2 linked regions of the Xenopus tropicalis genome follow. The protein of the gene in region 2 purifies or fractionates together with the protein of the main gene of each other region. This does not show direct contact. Links are inferred from orthologs where the notes say so. Each region holds a gene or a part of one and is shown on either strand. Other genes may lie near its edges.

Region 1 (3,659 bases), on a different chromosome or scaffold from region 2:
CAGTACAGTACTATCAGTGCTTTTAGCCTATGGAGGCACTATCAGTTCAGGTTGCTAAATGCTTTAGCAGAGGTGTCAGGGAGCTGCTATCTGTTCAGGCTTATTGGCTACTGGGGGAAGGAAAGGGAGGGGGGATATATCACTCCAACTTGCAGTGCAGCAGTAAAGTGTGGTTGAAGTTTATTAGAGCACAAGTCACATGGCTGTGCCACCCTGGGAAATGAAGAATATGGCATGGCTATCTACATGTAAAATTTTAAAACTAAATATAAAAAAAACCCATCAGTTTGCCCTTTTAAAAATCAGATTACAATGCAGGATTCTGCCGGAGAAGCTTTATTAACTGATGCGTTTTGAAACAAACATGTTTTCCCATGGCAGTATTCCTAAAGGCTATGGGACAGTTCCAGGCATTTTTTACCCAGATGAAAAATAGCTTTACTGTCAGGCACCATATGGCATGAAATAAAGACAATAAATACACGCTGTTCCAGAAAAAGTATACAGAGCATCTTACCACATAGCATGCATGTAGGTGGGTGGCAAACGAGGGCTGCTCACTGGGCTGCAATTGTATGATCTCATGATCCTCTCGGCCAGAAGAAAGTTCCGGAAGAGACTGGCAACTAATAGGTCCTGTCTAAAGAGCTTCTGAAATAGGTCTGAAATTATAAAGATGATAAATGCTGAAATATATATATTAATAAAATACAAACTATATCTAGAACACAAATATATATTTTGCAGAACCTAAAGTACTAGATATGTGTGCTCTGGTTTTAAGTGGTTGAACAGTATATTTCTCTTACAAAGCAAATTGGCACTGCTGTTAGCATTGCTACCTTGCTGAAATCCTAGCTTTAATTCCTGCCACTTGAAGGAGTTTGTATGTTCTCCCACTGTTTGAATGGATTTTCTCTGGAAACTCACACATAAAGGCTCCTCATTAACCCTAGTGTGTGTGAATTTGCTGAAGAACTTAAATTGTAAGCTTTACTGGGTCAGGGACTCAGGCAATATGGAAGCACTAAATAATACTTTACTTTAGAATAAGTCAGTCTGCGCCACTGACACTTAAAGAACTAACTTCTCCCTACCATGAGTATATGCATGTATGCACAATCATCCACCCATTATTTATATACGGTCTTAATTATCCACTGAGTGGGAAATAGTTCAAATTAGTAACCAATATCAGGAAAACTCTATTTTGTTATAAAATCTCTTTACTCCCACTATAATAGTAACATATATTTAAGCTATAGTGTAGCAGTATGATATGACTGTACCTCTAGGCAGAACGTTCCATGCTATAGTATCTGTGATTGCTGTAAAGATCCAGTTCAGCTCTCCCAGTGGTGTCCTCCTATCATTTAATCGCCCAGGAATTCTAGGAAAGAGAACAGTATGATATTAATTACTAAATCAAACTGCTAAAAAAATGCACAATGAATTACTAGGGACATTCAAAACAAAATCTCAATGAACCATGGTTAACCAAGCCACCCCCCCCCACAAAAAAAAAGAATCTTTTATTTAATTTTTCCCACAATTCTTAGCTGTCTCTTATATGTTTACTATCACTGATATTTTTTCAGAATGTTGTGAATGGTTACATATTTTACCCTGGTTTTCTATTTTTTAGCTTTTTTTTTTTAATTTTGATAGCTAACCAACAAACTGAGCTTAACATCCCTCTCATACATAATCTGAAATGGCACATGTTGTAAATTTCAAATAAGGCAAAATAAATGCCCAAATATAAACCTGGTTTTCAATATAAGAATGGCTCCTTTAACTCAATGTCTTACAGCAACTCACTGATAATGCCCTTTTCCAACTGGCCTGATACGATAAAATGAATATTACATCTTCCTCAGGCAGGTTATACTTCCCTGTTATGCCATTCTTCCAGCCATATACTGACATACTGACTAACCAGACATGGCTTATACATAAATTGACCATTTAGCCCCATTAGAATTCTGATAACTGCAATCCTTCTCACAAACAGCCTTCAGATTGTATTGTGGAGATCAGCAGGCAGCATCTGAGGCTTTATGAAAATTGCGCTTTTATTGTACCAGACTCCTGACTTAACTAAACTTCAGCACTGAGCCTGCCTCTTGAGTATTAGAATGTGTATGGGTCATTTCATCTAATCAATGTGATCACGATATTTATTTGCTACAAAGGAGCTCAGGTTTAAACATATTTAATTAACGGCAAGATTGTGAGGACGATGTAAGGACATTACAAGCCTGACTGCTTTGCTTCATGCCCTAGCTGAACAGCTGATGTGTGCACACTTTCTCCAGTCCAGAGGGAAAACCGTCTCTGAGCTATTCTTCAGCATGAAGAGGTTAAAGGTGGCTATGGGTAATTTCCTTGTCAAATCCACCTGTCTAATGGGAAAACAAATTGTGTTGCTAGTAAGCCTGTTATACTTGTGAACAGCAGACCCTTCGCTGTATGAATCTGGTCACATAAAGAAAGGGACAAAGAATGGGCTGAAATCATTGGTAGTTTTGGCACACAACCAGTGAAAATACTACATATTATAAGGAGTATTTTCAGTTAAAAATCACATTAGATATGAGCAGGCATATCAGTATATTGTATGTAAAGCTAAGTTTATAGGCTTCTTACTTTTTCTTTACATTGCTCTTACAAATAGAATAAGCCAGTCTGTAATAATTACACCTTAATACACCTTGGCTGCAAATTTGGGTAAATGAGGTGAAAATAGACAAAGCACCCTTATAGGTATATGCTGTGCGAAAAGTCAAGGGAGGTGGCTTCAATACATAGAAATTGTAAGTAAACAGAATATTAACAATACACATATATGTTACTTATACTATTTAAAGTATTCAGATCTTTGACCAATTAGCTTTACTGTATAAGAAAGCCTTCCTTGTATGTTATTCCATGTCACATTTTTCTATCAAAAAATTAAATTTCAAATTTAGTTTAATATAAGTGATATTTTATGTAAATATAAATGAAAAACGTTATTGCTTCATTTTCAATCCCCACAAGAACAGCTTTATGTCCGTTACATTCTTAGCTTTGATTATAATTTGAGATTTTGATCCATTGTATTAAGTATAGATTATAAAAATGCTAACTATATCTGGAATACAAATAAATATTTAAATGTTTTTATGACTTTTGCAGAAATGTTACTAGAAATGTGTACTCTGGTCTTGACTGGTCGAATATTATCTATTACAAAGCATGGTGCTTGCTGAACTAAAATCCAAGGTTTAATTCCTTGTAGTGATAAACTGAAAGGAGTTTTATGTGCTCCCCCTTCTTTCATGGATTTCCTCTGTGTACTCTGGGTAATAAAGAATAGACTGTGGCAGAGACTAAGTTTTTTAAGTATATTTTGTGAAAAGATGCAGTTTGAGAGTGTAGCTCCATTAAATAATGTGCTTATTAAGGATACAGAAATGGCAAGTGTGCTTAACCAGTTCTTTTCTTCAGAGTACTCAATAGAGTAATCAAAGTTTCAACAACCACCTTATAGGTGCACTGATGGCTCAATCTAATCAGTCATTGATGAAAAATATGGTACATAAAGGTTTACTCAAAATGAATATGAACAAGGCAGCAATGCCAGATAGAATAGACCCCCAGGTACTAAGAGATAC
Region 2 (3,759 bases):
CTTTAATAGCAGGTGAACTGAACTGTATCCTTTATGTTTAGAGTAGGAGGGCTAAAAGGAGCCAGAGAGCCCGTCACAATGCAAGGCATGCAGTGAAATCTGTTCCCAGGCCTCCCGCTATATGCATAGCACTGCTGTAAAACAAAAAATAAAGGGCATTAACTCTGGGAATAGAAACTGGCGGCTAGAATGAGGCATAAAGGGTCATTGAGAAAGATAAAAAATGTTCTGTCTGGTACAAGGGGAGAGGGTAAAACAGAACATGGGGGGGCATTTCACTAATGGTACCTTTAACATTACTTAGAAACCTCTGGAATTTCTCTGGAATAAAAAGTGTTTATAAATGAGCCTCAGCTTAATGTGTCCCAAATATCCCTAGTGCTGCTCCCATTACTCCCCAACAGGATGTCCCTGTGCCCTTCTGGCCACACCTCGCTATACACAACAAAGCCCCTTGTCCTGCAGTCCCAGTATGTCAGTCTCCTGTAAGGTCTGTGAGAGCTGCCACGTTTTATTGTGTCGTTCCATGTCCTTTACTCCCCACTGCCAGCCAAAATGTCTCCAGTGCCGCTCACATACAAGCACATCCCCAAGCCTGCCCAAAGGGAAGTAGGGATACTTATTATGGGGACAAATGTACCTGGACCACTGCTACTATAGGCACCATCTCTCCCTACTATACCTGCTATCCCACAGCCCCAGTCCCTTCCCAGAGACTATTATCCCACTGCTACTATAGGCACCATCTCTCCCTACTATACCTGCTATCCCACAGCCCCAGTCCCTTCCCAGAGGCTATTATCCCTCTACTGCTACTATAGGCACCATCTCTCCCTACTATACCTGCTATCCCACAGCCCCAGTCCCTTCCCAGAGGCTATTATCCCCCCACTGCTACTATAGGCACCATCTCTCCCTACTATACCTGCTATCCCACAGCCCCAGTCCCTTCCCAGAGGCTATTATCCCCCCACTGCTACTATAGGCACCATCTCTCCCTACTATACCTGCTATCCCACAGCCCCAGTCCCTTCCCAGAGGCTATTATCCCCCCCACTGCTACTATAGGCACCATCTCTCCCTACTATACCTGCTATCCCACAGCCCCAGTCCCTTCCCAGAGGCTATTATCCCCCCACTGCTACTATAGGCACCATCTCTCCCTACTATACCTGCTATCCCACAGCCCCAGTCCCTTCCCAGAGGCTATTATCCCCACTGCTACTATAGGCACCATCTCTCCCTACTATACCTGCTATCCCACAGCCCCAGTCCCTTCTCAGCTCTCCCTCCTATACTACATACATACATACTCCTTTACCCTAAATTCCATCTCCCCTCTCTAATCCAAAGCTATACTTACAAAGGTTCCATAAAACTATCCCTATTACAGATTCTCATTTTCCCGCCCTTAGCTGACAGAGAGGCAGCTGCTTTATCCAATGAAATATCGTATACAGTTAAGTGGAGCGACGCTAACGTATCGGACGCGCTTATTGGATACAAACAAAGGATACGCCAACGTCACAAGACATAGCGCCCAATCGCAGCGCTTGTGTATGACACGTAGTTCTGCCCCCTGTGGCGGGAGGCGGGGAATGACGCAGCGAGAATAGTGAGAGGGAGGAGAGAGTTATAGAGCGGCGCGGAAGAATTGTTTTACACAGAGCTGCTGTACCGAGGCGGGGTGATCGGGCCACCGTGTGACGGAACTATAGCCGGGGCGGGAATAGACGCGATAGTAGCAGCCACACTCCCACACTAGAGTTGGAGGGAATCTGTGCGTCGTTGCGTGCTCGGCCCCGTCGGTGGATGCGGCGCTCTCGTCCCTGAAGGGAAGGAACGGTGGAGGCAGCAAAGATGCCGCAACCCAAATCACGTAAAATCGCCATCCTGGGGTACCGCTCCGTGGGTGAGTGTGACGGGCAGTGGGCGGGCTTCACCCTAGGGAGGGCGGGGCTTGGGCTAATGGCACATTTAGGGCGGGGAAGCCAGAGTGCACTTGTTCATGTCTGTCCGGCCGGGGCTCAGGGATGTGCCATTGCGGGCTTCATTGGAGCCACAACATCCCCGGGCTCGCCATTGCCCCTTCCGTGGGGTGGAGAATCCTGGGGCAACTAGTCATGGCAGGGAAGCCTCCCGTCACGGGCAGCCAATGGTTAATGAGCTTCCCTCCCTTGTTAGGGGCACCTTCTCTAAATGCAGCATACATAGGGTTAAAGCTTCCACCTTGAACTACAATTCCCGGCATCCCCCCCTGACCTGCTGCTGCTTTAGTTTAATGATAGGCAGCATCTCTAGTCCTGTAGTGTAAATATACTGCTGCCTCCCCAGCCTGTACGCCCCCTGCTGGCCTGCTTAAAGCTTCCACCTTGAACTACAATTCCCGGCATCCCCCCCTGACCTGCTGCTGCTTTAGCTTAATGATAGGCAGCATCTCTAGTCCTGTAGTGTAAATATACTGCTGCCTGTACGCCCCCTGCTGGCCTGCCCGCACAGGCTTCTGGGATTTGTAGTTCCTTAGCCCCAGGAGAGGCAAAATGAGGTCGTCTTAACCTTTTTTTTTTCCTAGAGAACCCAGTCTTGTGACCCACCATTTGGCTGAGAGTTGACTGTAATTACTAATGTAGGCGGATAGGGCACTTTAATAAGGAGGCTAAACAGCATTGCGCGTCCAGATGTGCGGAATCCTGCGCGTTATAGGGATGCGTGTGTTCTGCCATAATGGAAAGTAATACACTTGGCTGTGTGCACACTTTCCCCCGCCCCGGGGCAGCCATTACAGGGGGTGGAAATGAAAGGCCAGGAGCCATTGAAACACAATGGGTGATATTGTTTAACCAATACTCTCTGTATTACAGCAGTTCCTGAAGTGGGGGGGGGCTGCTCCCTACTGGGGAATGTGGGGCAGGGGGTTAAGACTGGGGGAGAATGGCCATTTGTATCGCTGGATACACCTAGGGGAGTAGCAAGACTTGGGCTGAATATGTCTTTGCTGCCCTAGATATCCTTGTTAGGGATACGCCGATATCTTCCTTTATCCACTAATAAAGGACACACACTGCTGTATTAGGCAGTAGAAAATGGAGATTAGAGAGGGCAGGTAGTTATTGGTTATCAAGATATTGTCCATCTGCCGTTACTCAGGCTCCTATGTGTGCCTCCGTTGCACTTATATACAGTGTCCGTTTATATTGTACATGTGAGCAGCTTCAGTCGGTGCAGAGGAGCATTGGGAAGAGCCAGTAATAATGGCAGCGGGGCTCTATAGAATAAATGTGGGCCGGTATATTTGTAAAGAGGAGTTCCAGCCCTGGGTCTCTGCTCAGAGAGGGGATGTGCTGATGTTACACATTGACACCCCCTAAGGCAGGGATCCCCAACCTTTATTACCCATGAGCCATATTCAAATGTAAAAAGACTTGGGGAGCAATACGATCGTAATACATGTTCCTGGGGGTCCAAATAAGGGCTGTAATTGGTTATTTGGTAGCCCCTATATGGACTGGAAGCCTACGGGATATTCTGTTTGCCAGTACATCTGGGTTTTATTCAACCAAAACTTGCCCCCAAGTCAGGAATTCAAAAATAAGCAGCTGTTTTAAGGCCACTGGGAGCAACACCCAATGGGTTGGGGAGCAACATGTTCCCCTGAGCCACTGGTTGGGGATCACTGATCTAAGTAGACTTACACCTGCACAGACCCATTAGTTCTGTGGGAGTCACACACTTTGCTGTTTGGCTGTACCTGGCAACGGA

Evidence for each region. The genes of interacting proteins can lie anywhere in the genome.
Region 1: the proteins of rheb (region 2) and rptor purify together in Homo sapiens (affinity purification with western blotting, with the first as the bait; 3 studies listed by BioGRID). This does not show direct contact. The link is inferred for Xenopus tropicalis from reciprocal best matches to the Homo sapiens genes RHEB and RPTOR.

The regions. Positions count from the first base shown.
Region 1 is NC_030686.2:26,937,911-26,941,569, forward strand, and holds part of rptor (regulatory-associated protein of mTOR), read right to left. Parts: intron 1,391-3,659; coding exon 1,290-1,390; intron 663-1,289; coding exon 518-662; intron 1-517. UniProt on the Homo sapiens protein: Component of the mechanistic target of rapamycin complex 1 (mTORC1), an evolutionarily conserved central nutrient sensor that stimulates anabolic reactions and macromolecule biosynthesis to promote cellular biomass generation and growth.
Region 2 is NC_030682.2:14,449,404-14,453,162, reverse strand, and holds the start of rheb (GTP-binding protein Rheb), read left to right. Parts: upstream 1-1,603; 5' UTR 1,604-1,860; coding exon 1,861-1,912; intron 1,913-3,759. UniProt on the Homo sapiens protein: Small GTPase that acts as an allosteric activator of the canonical mTORC1 complex, an evolutionarily conserved central nutrient sensor that stimulates anabolic reactions and macromolecule biosynthesis to promote cellular biomass generation and growth.